3 linked regions of the Mus musculus genome follow. The protein of the gene in region 1 purifies or fractionates together with the protein of each later gene. This does not show direct contact. Links are inferred from orthologs where the notes say so. Each region holds a gene or a part of one and is shown on either strand. Other genes may lie near its edges. The genes, in order: Wwox, Vopp1 and Dvl2.

What was found.
Region 2: the proteins of Wwox (region 1) and Vopp1 purify together in Homo sapiens (affinity purification with mass spectrometry; 3 studies listed by BioGRID and IntAct, with this or other methods). This does not show direct contact. The link is inferred for Mus musculus from reciprocal best matches to the Homo sapiens genes WWOX and VOPP1.
Region 3: the proteins of Wwox (region 1) and Dvl2 purify together in Homo sapiens (affinity purification with mass spectrometry; 4 studies listed by BioGRID and IntAct, counting the BioPlex papers as one, with this or other methods). This does not show direct contact. The link is inferred for Mus musculus from reciprocal best matches to the Homo sapiens genes WWOX and DVL2.

The regions. Positions count from the first base shown.
Region 1 is NC_000074.6:114,438,308-114,442,559, reverse strand, and holds the start of Wwox (WW domain-containing oxidoreductase), read right to left. Parts: upstream 2,909-4,252; 5' UTR 2,789-2,908; coding exon 2,682-2,788; intron 1-2,681. UniProt on the Homo sapiens protein: Putative oxidoreductase. Acts as a tumor suppressor and plays a role in apoptosis. Required for normal bone development. May function synergistically with p53/TP53 to control genotoxic stress-induced cell death.
Region 2 is NC_000072.6:57,759,089-57,762,733, forward strand, and holds part of Vopp1 (vesicular, overexpressed in cancer, prosurvival protein 1 precursor), read right to left. Parts: intron 3,484-3,645; coding exon 3,347-3,483; intron 1-3,346. UniProt on the Homo sapiens protein: Increases the transcriptional activity of NFKB1 by facilitating its nuclear translocation, DNA-binding and associated apoptotic response, when overexpressed. May sequester WWOX in lysosomal vesicles and thereby regulate WWOX role as tumor suppressor.
Region 3 is NC_000077.6:69,999,320-70,003,490, reverse strand, and holds the start of Dvl2 (segment polarity protein dishevelled homolog DVL-2), read right to left. Parts: upstream 2,900-4,171; 5' UTR 2,659-2,899; coding exon 2,465-2,658; intron 1-2,464. Other genes in the region: Phf23 (PHD finger protein 23), read right to left, coding at 4,039-4,171.

The sequences.
Region 1 (4,252 bases):
TTGATTTCCTTAAATCCACCCTCGGAAAGGAAGTAAACTGTATTACATCATCACCAATGGACGAGACGCCGACAGCGGACGCCAAGGACTGAGAAACAGTGCTAAGTTCAGGTGGTTGGAGCAGCACAGTCTAGGACGTTTTCTAGGGCTGAGACTCCACACACTGAGGTCCACGTAGGAGCACCCAATGCAGGACCATTGGCATGCCTATACCCCAGCACCTCCTGCTCACACAATCCACTCATGTCTCCAGAGCCACTCAGTCCTTCTGAAGACACAAACTCACTATCACTCCCTGGCTTCAGATCATCGGCTGGCTCTAGAGTCCGACAACAAAATCCAAGTCCTTGGTGAAGCACAGAAGGGCCTCTGCAAACTGATTCCTTTCTCACCAGTCTCAGGCTTTACAACTCTATACCACAGAGAGAGGGCTGCCTGGGGTCTCTCCTCCCACTGCCCCCTCCAACCTGCCTGACTTCCTACCACCTGAGGCCACCTTCTACAGCACTCTGAGACACAGGGCAAGTGACACCTCTCCTAGGCGGCCTCCCTCACCCACCCACCCACCTCACGCTGGACACAGTGCACTGGAACTATATCATTAGAAATCACTTGCTGGTATTGCAGAGATCCTTAAGAATGGCAGCTGCACCACACTTAGCTGGACATCACCAATGCCCACCCACCGGCCTGGCCCTTAAGGACTCTTGAATGAATGAACTCACCAAAGCTTTTCTGTTTCTTTCTATCTGGCCACCAGGGGCAGCAGTGAGTAGCTTTGAGTACCTGCAAATCTCATACTTTACAGCCCATCAGTGGGGAGACGCCAGGGCACATTAGTTCCTAATTTGATAACAGGGCAAGAACGTTATCTTTTAAGTCTTTCTGGAACCAGGTAGGGTAGTACAAACCCTGTAATTACATATCTGGGAGGTGGAGGCATCAAGAACTATGTCATCCTGTTTACAAAAGAAAGTCTAGGCAAGCCTGGGCTACAGGAAGCACTGCTAGACAAAACTGTAGCATGTGCCATTAACCCCAGAGGCTGGAAGGTCTCTGTGAGTTTGAAGCCAGTCTGGTCTGTATATAATTTTTTAAGTTAATTATTAAAAACTAAAAATACACTTACAGGTGTTAATACAATAGTTTGTTTTCTGAAAGCCAGGTGATAAGATACTCTCATAGAAAGCTTGAAAAAGATTGAGTCTCCTAGCTTTTAAAGACATAAAGTCAGGTGTGTTGTTCATGCACACTTTGCCCAGGAGAAATGGGAGCTCAACCTCGGCCACCTAACCAAGTTAAGGCCACCCTCGACTATATGAGACCCTGTTTTAAAAATATTTCACAGATATATAAGAAAATAGAAGAGGAAGTATTTGATATGAAGAAAAAAATCAGGAAAAGTACACAATATTCATAAGAAAAAGGAGACCATGAAACTCGGGGGTTGGAGGCAGATAGACATCTTGGAAGGCAGACAGGGAGAGGAACCATGGCTAGGTGACACAGGTGGTGAACTTCCAAGACAGCCAGCTTCTTCCTCACACTCTTTATGTGAGTCGAAAGCCTGGCATCTTAAAACAAAGTCCTTGTGGGCTTTTTCTCCTGCTAGTCAGCTGTTGCTGATGACTGGCTCAGCAAGTTCGAGACCACATCAGGACACGTTACCCAACAGATGTGGGTTGACCAACCCTTATCTTTTCTTCAAACTGACCAACTCTTAAATTAGGGAATGAAAACTCCTCAATGACTTAAAACCAAAGCCCTCAAGAAGAGGCTGCAATTTTTTCGGCTCCAGAGTTCCCTTTGGCTTTGCAGTTGTTTTCTCCATGTGTGTCTGCCCTGTGAACACGAGTCCTCCCCTACAGAGTGCCTTTCAGCCTGCTGACTGTGCCTGCTGCTGTCGGAGGTGTTGGAGACTTCTCCACTGCTACCTGCTACATTGCGAATTTCCCGCTTTTTCATTCTTTGACTGGCAGAGCCTGATCAAGACTGTATGAAAACCTAGCATTTTGTCCATTAAGTATCTATTTCTTAAAAATGAACAGAGGTCCCCAAGCATAGAGTCAGCTGCAGTAGCTCCCCCTATGGGAGCTACTATCCCCTATCACGCCTATGCAATTTTGCCACAGATACAGTCCAAGTAACAGAAAACGCCTGCGGGGCAACCTACTAGCCTCTCCACTGAGTGCCTTGTGCACAGCACAGATTCATTCTTGTGTCTGCTCATTTCAGAGATGAGGAGAACAGAAAAGTCAGGGGCTTGCTTTCAGTGGCCCAAGGTCACGGTTAGCAACAGGGAAAGGCTCTGTGGAGGTTTCCAAGACTTCCCTGGGAAACCACTGCGAGCCATCCAGGACATCTGCTTAAAAATACAGATTGCTGGGCCTCCAGATCAGGTCCCCATGGCAGGAGCTTGGCTTTGAAGTTTTCTCTATTTCCTCTTTAGAGGAGTAAGACCTAGGCGCCACCACCGCACGGTGCAGTGCCACCTAGTGAGCGGCAGGGGGCGTGCGGCGGGTGGCCAGGTGACGGGACCTTGACCCAGATCCCCTAATAACGGGGGACAGCCTGGGACAGGTGGCTGGCATTTCGGATGCGCATGCCCGCCTGGCAGGGCAGCGCAGGGTCCAGGCCTCGCAGGACACGGCTCCCAGGAACGCCGCTCCAAGGCCGCTTACTTGGCGTAGTACACCCAGCCGTCCTTGGTGGTTCTCTCCTCCCAGCCCGGAGGCAGCTCATCCTCACTGTCCGTGTCGTCCAGGCCCGCATAGCGCAGAGCTGCCATGCTGGAGACAGAAGTAGCCGCCTGCTCTCCTCAGCAACTCACTCTGGCTTCAACCGCGCCGCGCGCGTCCGGGAGGGGACCAGACCGCTCGCGCCTGCGCACTGCTCGCCCAGCCGGTCCGCGGCTGTAATCCAGTTTCCGGGTTTTGCAGCTACTGGCGGGAAAGGGGGCGGAGCCTGAGAAGAGCACGGGAGGGAACGCGGAAGAGATGGAACGGCCGTGGGGGGTGGAAGGAAAAGCAGGAACGGCTCAGAAACTGGAATAAGCTTCCTCAGCCTCCTGGAAGGGGCGTGCTTACCCAGTCATCATGCAGGACTCTGCACGTTGCTGGGCGACCCGAAGGCACTTCCTTATTGTTTTACCCAATCCTGAATGAGTCCCAGCAGTGAAGTATCCTGGGAAATGTAGTCCAAGCTCAACTGGACTATAAAGGGGGGGCGGGGAGGGGGGAAAGGTTCTGATGAGATTATTCTGAGCTCCAGTTTCGTCCCATGCCCTGCAGGTGTACAACCTTTTGACACTACGACATGATACTGTGACATGGTCATTTCCAAAATTTACACTAGAGAAGCCCTCAATCGAATATCCAAATAGGAAAAAGAAAAGAAAAATCTCACAATGCTTAAAGTTTAGGATTTTTGTGTTGGGCAGCATTTATTAGTATCCCGGGCCACGTGTTGCCACGAGCCTCAGGTTGGACACACCTGCGAGAGTAAATGTCCTGACTTGATACTATCCAGGTATTTTTCCATTCACAATCTGTGTTGTTTATGTAAATATGCCATTTAAAAAAAAAAAACCTACACTTGGAGAACTAAGTGACTCCAGAATTTGGGAGGGTAAGTCAAAACGATCACAAGTTCACAAGTTCGAGGCCAGCCTATGCTATAAAGGGAGCCAAAAATCGAGAACATGCAAATTCTCATGCCTCCAGATTCTCTATTAAGAGAGAATGGTCTTCCAACCATAACTTGGTTCTCTTGTTCATAGGCGGCACCTGATTACAAACTTGCAAAGCAGACTTTTAAAGCACCTGAAAAAAAAATCCTGGTTATAAATATCCTAGACCCACAATGTGAAGCCTACCTTCACAACAGCACTTAGTCCCTTCCCCTATTTGTTTATCATTTCTGGCTCCTGGAAGTTTAGCTTTGACTTTGATCTAACAAGGATCTATCTGCATGTAAACCCAGGCAAAGAAGATTTTTCAGGAGCTTGAATACGTGTGAGACAAAGCCAACACCCACAAAGTCATACCCTAAGGAGATTTTATGACCATCTTGTTTCTGTAAAAACATCTGCGCCACAGTAGTTATGAAATGAGGATTTTTTAACTATCCAAGCTTGTGCTTCCGAAGCTGCACGCCAGGTGGCGCTATCAGCCTGCAGTTCAAAGCCTTGGTTCCCAGCAAGGAACCTTTGAACCTGTTTTTTGTTTGTTTGTTTGTTTGTTTGTTTGTTTTT
Region 2 (3,645 bases), on another chromosome or scaffold:
TAGATGTAGATGGCTGATAAGGTCATTTGTGTGAATGCTTTGGGCTATGTCACTTGGGTGTAAGTCATGAAATGTGCATGGGGGTGCTTAGGAACTCAGTATGCATACGGAGTGTGAAAGAGTTGAGCTCTTCAGCTACAAAATTAAGTGTTGGAAAGTGAATGCTAAATCAACAGTGAGCAGTATCTAGATAATCAGGTTTCTGTCCTCAAAGCTGGATTCAGAGTGCTGAGTTGTAGTTTTTAGCTCCACTACATGTTCCTTTTCTTCTTAGAAGACAGAGATGGCCACAGTGAGACTATGAACTGTAGGAAAAAAGGCAACAAGTGTTTCTCAGGAAAAATACAGGTCTGAAATAAAATTTGGTAAGATATTTTGATTTACTGGGTGTAGCCAAAGTGAGACCAAAGTTCCAGAGACAGGGTTTATTGCTTTCAAAAACAAGACATGTGAGTGGCCATGATGCATTCTCCTCTGGCAATACTCGGATACCACAGGGCACTCAAGGTGAGCTGCACAGACCAAAGTGTGGCTCTCAGTTTATCACCTGCTCACCACATTGGCTCTAGTTTGGATGACTACAGGAGCATCAGTCCTGTCACTGGGCCAGTTCTAGACAGGAAGGACATGTGTCCTGCACGCCCTTTCTCTATCCAAGAGTGATGGATCCAGATGAAAGCCACTCACGAATGGTTTTAACATGAAGTCACTTAATGTTTTAAATGGAAATTTGTGTTTTAAGTTCCAAAGGAGCAGAGTTAAAATAATAAGATGAATGTATGAATACAAAATGATGCCAAACTGCAGTGAAAATTGAAGGTGTGGCTCCCAGTAAACTCATATGGAAAATATACATTCACATCTTTCTTGGTGATAATCCTAAAAATATTAAAGAAAGATCTTTTGGAAGGGAAAACTCTGCCAAGTGTCAGATAGAAGAACAATTCTCTTTGCATCTTGAGCATGTCACCAAGAAAGCAAGACAGGCTACAATACCTGTTACATTCAACCTTCCCACTCTTTGATTCTGATTTAAACATGATGGACAAATTAAATACTGTGCTTATTTATTGCATGAAACCTGATGGGTCTGAAGGTAACACCTATGAAATCACCATGGCCCATATTACAATGTATCCTACAGACCTCTGTCGTCTAACTTACTATTAGTATTTGTATATATAATAAGAATACATTAGTCCTAATCTCTAAGTGAACTTTTTCCAAGCATATTTTTAACTATAGTTTTGTTCATTATAGTCCATAAGATGTTGAGTAGATCTATTGGACTTACTTGTTCTGTATAATAGAAATGTTGCAAAAGGAAAGAACGGTCCAGTCATCTACCTGTGGTGTGCCTGGGAGCACAGCAGTGTTCCTAGTAGCAGAGCAGTGTGCCTGGGAGCACAGCAGCATGACTGGGAGCACAGCAGTGTGCCTGGGAGCACAGCAGCATGACTGGGAGCACAGCAGTGTGCCTGGGAACACAGCAGCATGACTGGGAGCAGAGCAGCGTTCTTGGGAGCACAGCAACGTGACTGGGAGCAGAGAAGCATATCTGGGAGCACAGCAGTGTGGCTGGAAATCCAGCAGTGTGCCTGGGAGCACAGTGGTGTGAATGCAATCAACATATTGGCCCTCAAATTTATGAAACATAGAATCTTTAGTTCAGAACCAGGATGAGCAGTGCCTGTCTACTCTGCCTTCTGGCACCGTGCAACTCTCTATGTACAGATGGCTCCTTCCAAGCAAGGGGACCTCAGAGACACTGTCAAAACCCCTATACCAGCCTGTGTCTTGAGGGGAGGCAGCACCAACTAGTATAATATGGGGGAGATTTATACAGTTAAGGAAAAATTGTCTTTTAAGAACAAAGAAATAGCTAATTCTCTTTGATATTGAAACATTGCTTCGGGTAATATGTTCTACAGGCCATTGGTAACTTCTATGAAGGTGTTTACTGCTGCTCTACAATTAATTACTGTTACTGAATATGCATGTAAACATTCTCTCTTGTATATGTCTTACTAAATATATGATTTGAATTTATAGTGAACGTTTGTAAAAGAGAGGGATGTTTGGAAAAACCCTGTGATCTCTTGGCAAGCACAGCATTGGAAGTAAAGGCACTGAGAGTAAGGACATTATCATTGTCACATCAGAGCAAGAGGAGCAAGATTAGAAGGAGAATGCAGAGTAGAATAACTTAGAAGTTATAAGGCAACTTAAAAAATTAAGAGATCAGTGTATAAAACACTGAGGGAAAGAGGAAGAAAGAGGAATAACTCAGAAATTATAAGGCAGATTAAAAAATTAGGAGAGCAGTATGTAGAATGCAGAGGGAAAGAGGAAAAAGAGAAGCTGCAGACAGAGCAAAAGGATCAGGCAGGCTTTTCCTTACCATGGGAAAGAACAGGTCTTTTCTTAATAGCAAGGCAGGCTTAGTTTTACTAAAGAGAACATTTTCTTATAGACTCAGGCTTAATTCATTTAGCAATGAAAGTGTAGAAGTGTTTCCTTTCTCTATGAAATAAAGATTGGAACTCATTTTTCGTCCAGAATGAGTGAGTTCTTTCTGCACTGGCGCTTGGTCTTTTGCTCCATAAACATATGTTAAGTATGGACGTGTGTGTCCGTTAAGTATCTAATTATGAGGTAAGTATATAAGGTGAACTCAGTTGGTTTTAATGGAAAGACATGAATGTGTGTAAGAAATTATGTGAGTTTATTCATATTTGGTTGTGCAAAAGTTTTTCTTTCAGTGAGTGTGACTGTCTTCTCTTGGTTCAATAGAAGTTTATTATTCCAAACCTCCCCCAAGCCTGACAAGTGAGAAGCTTCCAGACAAGAGGTCAAAGGCCCTAGGAATTAATCCTTTACTTAATCCCTCGATGCTATTTGATGATGAAGTACTAAACCTCTGAGGCCAATACTGCAGTTTCTGGCTTCAGAGGAATTCAGGCAGGACAGCGATAGCAGTAAAGTGATCTAGACTTTTAGATAGTACACGTTTTATTATTAAACAGCAACCCTAAAAATCTCTAAAGACCAAGTTTTGCCCACCTTGATATTCTTTCCCTGTCTGCTACCTCAAGAGAAAACCAAGAAGAAAGAACAGCTAGGGCAGGGCCCCAGAAAGTACATCAGTAACAAAATAAGAACACCAGATGATACACTCACAATATATTGCATTGCGACCAGCAGGAACAAACAATCAAGTTGCACATCAGAACTTAAATGATCAAGTAGCCTGATTTATCTCTTCTAGCACACTCTGGGGCATAAGTGATGTCTGAAGAGGTCACTCAGATTACAAGGAGGACAGACAACGATGAGACTAACTGACCTGGAGCAGGATTTGGTGGCTGCCTGGTATAGGACACATTGAATGTGGGCTCCTCAATGAGTGGTGGCGGATACATGCGCCGGCGAATGAAGAAACCGGCACCACAGCAGAACAGCACACCCATCATCAGCAGGAACCTGCAAAGAACACAGACATGTGTCAGAGTTCAAGACATAGGCTAAAGTCAGGCTAGAGAACTGCGACAAAAATGCCTGAGGATTCTCCAGGGGCTCGGAACACCACTCCCCAATGGTAAAGCACAGAGATCCAGAAATCTGTGAGAAGTCTCCAGCCATGAG
Region 3 (4,171 bases), on another chromosome or scaffold:
TAGATTCAACACATGTCCTGGGTGTGTGGCACAAGCCCTCACCTTTGTAAGCAAATCCATGTAGACAAACTATGAGCCATGAGCCATTCTTTCCCACACATAACACCCTCACCCTCAAATCAGAGCTTCTTCGGGGTGGGGATGGGGGCTAAAGAATTGGCTCAGTGGTTCAGAACACTCGTTCTCGCAGAAGACCCAGGTTTAGTTCCCAGAATCCACCTAGTGGCTCACAACTATCCATAGTTCGAGTCCCAAGGGATCTGACTTGTCTCAGCCAAGCTTTCCAGGCACCAAGCAGGCACACTGTGTGCACAGATTTGTCTGTGTGATTAGTTCTAGCCTAACGTACTCTGGGGGCTTGGGGATAGGCCTCACGAATACATTTGCTATCAAGACGGCACACGAGCTACTCAACATTAACCAACTCTTCCCAACAGAACCCCACCGGACATGGCCCAGTCTCCTCCAAAGCAAGCAGTTCTGTATCGTGTAATGTAGTCTATGAACTAGTTAGCTTCCATACTAAATGAAAATTACCAGTCACCAAGAATGTACCATGTGCCATGCACCGAAATTAAGCATTTTACACTATGATTATCACCATGCCACAGATGAAGAAATCAAAGCACAAAAGCTAAATAAATTGCCCAAAATTATAATGCAAAAAGAACAACCTTGATATAAACCCAAGACCAACTCCCTAGGCAGCATCACCTTCTCCACATCGAACAACTGTTAACAAGGGTCCAGCCTGTTCAGGGAGCCGAGGGGGATGTGCTCCCACCACAGGGACTTTCACAGGTAAGAAGTCTCTCCCCAACCCAGGTGGTAGGTCACCTTCCTGTCCCCAGGACCCTGCTATCCCTGCTTGTCAACTCAGGACATCATAGCCTAACACAGTCTGAGCTTGGGGACACAGAAGGCTCAGTCCCAATCTCTACAACAACAAGAAACTGCCTTAAATTATAGTCTCAGTCCAGCACAGGGTCACCCAGCATGTCACAAATCACCCCAGAACTCCATAGCCCCCAGCGTCCCCACACAAGCAGCCCTTTGCACCATACTGATTACAGTACCCCATTCTGCTATGATGTAGCAGTACCACTACCCCATTTGTTCCCACTTGTCCCTGTCTTGTAACTTGTAAAAAGCCCAGGTCTGGGCCAGGCATCCTGACTGCCACACGTTATCTAGTTCCAGCACTATGGATGCAGGTGTAGAGGCAGGGCTGCTACAAGTTCAAGGCAAGCCTGTTCTATATTGTGTTCTAGGTAGCTTCAGTAACAGAAGGAAGTTCTTGGCTCAGCAGCAGACTGACTGGCTCTGGAGAAGACTGGAGTTCAAGTCCCAGCACACACATAGTGGCTGGCAGATGCTAACTCCAGTTCTAGGAGATCCCATGCCATCTACTGGATTCATTGGGCACTGCATGCTTGTGGTACACACTATGCATGCAGAACACCCAAACACATAAAGTAGCTTTTGTTTGTTTTATGACAAGGTTTCTCTGTGCAGCCCTAGCTGTCCTGGCACTGGCTCTGTAGACCAGGCTAGCCTTGAACTCAGAAAACTGCCTGCCTCTGTCTCCCAAGTGCTCAGATTAAAGATGTGCACCACCACTGCCCAACACATAAAATATCTTTAAAAAAAAAAAAAAAGCAAAAAAATCCTCCAACTCTCTTCAGCCCCCAGGGGGTATCGGGGTAGCGGGGAGAGGAGGTTCTGGCCCTAAGAGGAAATAAGAACTCAGAAAAGTTCAGAATGGTACATGCTTTGCCAGGAAAGTCTACTTCAAAACAGCCTAATATATCCCAATAGATCTCGCTGCAATATTACAGACTCTACCATCCCAAAATAATACTATGGAACCTGATTAATAAGCCAGAATAGCCTAATTGTCTCACTATAGCCCGGTCTACATAAAAACACTGCATGCCCAGCATATTGGCTCACACCTGTTTATTTCAGCTCTGGGGGCTAAGGCAGGAACTCCATGGGTTCGAAGCCAGCCTAGGATACAAGGAATAAAGCCCTACCTCCAAACAAAAGAACAAATCAAAACAGGCAAACAAAATTACAGACTATCTCTATCTAACTCGCGTGCAGACGTCTGAGAGCGAGCATCCCAGCTCACCAAAAGATAGATGGCTCTAATCTCCGCACAGCCTAGCATAACCTCAAGCATCACTTCTTTGCCTTTTGGCTAAAATCATGGAGAGAGAATGGCCAAACAAACCAGTGTTCCCCATTCCTCCAACCTAATTTTCTCGCCATCCAGCCCTTTCTTCTATGTGTCCAAATATAACCTTGTCCGTCTTGGGATGGGCTTTCTACCTTAGCACAGTACAATATGCTATGCTCCACTACAGGCCAGAAACAGTCCAAGGTAGACCGGTCTCCCTCAATATCGCCCAATCCACTCTAGCATACCCACCGTCCTTCCCAGTCTAGGCCTCGCGCTTACCCAAAATCCTGATCCATGGACTTGAAAAAGTACTTGGCGCCCGCGGGCCGCTGCAAAACGCTCTTGAAATCGCCGAGCGTGATGCGCTCCGCCGGGACAGGGATCTTCACCAGGTAAGGAGTCTCTTCTTCATCCAGATGGTAAATCACCTTCGTCTCGCCTACACCACCGCCCCCCGCGCTGCTGCCCGCCATGGTCTCGCTCGCGCGCTCCCGGGCTCAGCCGCCCACCCAACAGGACTAAGCGCCCCCGCCGCGCCTGCGCACACCCGCAAACTGACGCGCTAGCGCCAACAGCGCAGGGCCAGTGCGGAAGACGTGCCCAAGGAGGATGGCGGGGACCAGCGGGCTGATCGGGAAGAGCTGTGTGGCGAGACTCAAAACCTAGACCGCACAGTCGAGGGCCACTAGCTCCACGGACGTCGCGAGCAGCACCGAGGTCCCCGCCCACCTCTCCCCATGCCACGTGACCCAAGCCCGCCCACTTTGCGCAGCCGACTGTGCTTCACGTGACTTCCTTGAGTCACGTTACTACAAGCTCCACCTAGACACTCACGTGACCACTGCCTTGAGCAACGGTCTTCAGCCCTAGACGACTCCGCCCCCAAACGTGTACAACCCGCCCCCCCCCCTCCCAAGTACCTTAGCAAGCTTCTACTCTTGGAATGCTGGCAACTGGCCCCCACTTTGCCTTACCCATCTGAGGTTCAAGGCACCTCAATAGCAACTATAAGAGGGGCGGGGATATGGGCTGATGAGTGAGAATTGTAACCTGGGACCCTTAGGGCAGTACTCCTACTAGACTGTACTTGGGATGAGAAAGCCGAAATAGTCTTCAGAGATGTCTGAGGGGCATTAGACAGTGCCCAAGCCAGATTTGGCCCCTAAACTTCCCATCTCCACCTCCCAAATTGTGGAATTACAGCCCTGGACTTACAAGTGGCCTTCAGCCCCAACTCCACCCAAGACTTCCACCAGGTTTCCCAAAGATCCCCTCCCCAAATAGGACAAGGAGGGCTGTAAAACACAAGAGCCCACTCTGCTTTATTTACAACACGCAGGCCGTCTGTCTGAGCAGCCGGCCAACAGTATTAAAAACGAGGCGAGTGCTAATTGACACCTTTTTCTTTCCTTCCTCACTCCACAGGCTTTGGTACTCCACCTCTGAGCAACCTCGCTCAAATGGGGGAGCCCCAAATTAAAAATACATCCGGTGTAAAAGAAAGTAAACGGGAGAGAGAAGAAACATGAGGGGAGTGCTGTATTTACACTACAGTTTTATAGACAACTATCCCATTACATCCCAGTTTGAGCCCTGGACCTGCAAGTGAAAAGGGTACAGGGTTGACTGGACAGAGATTCTGTCTACAGATCCAGCCTCCCCGACCCAACTGTAATGGGGTCAACTTCAAGTCCATGGAGCAGGAAGGACAGAGTAGAAGACACTCATTTCCAAATACGTCTCCCTTGGGAATTGTGGCCCTCAAGTGGGGACAGCCTCCTCACTCCAAGGGAAGGCTGGGGACCCTGAGGCTCAGTTCCCAAGTAATGTCACAAGTTCCAGCCTTAGTGATGTCAGGGTTCTCCAGATTTGGGGAGACCCCCTAACCGCCGGGCCTCTGGCCGAAGTTCCTTGCATTTCTGGCAATAAAAGAAGTCGGGAACGTTGGTCTTCTTAATCTTAGCACAGGAGAGGTGGATCCACGTC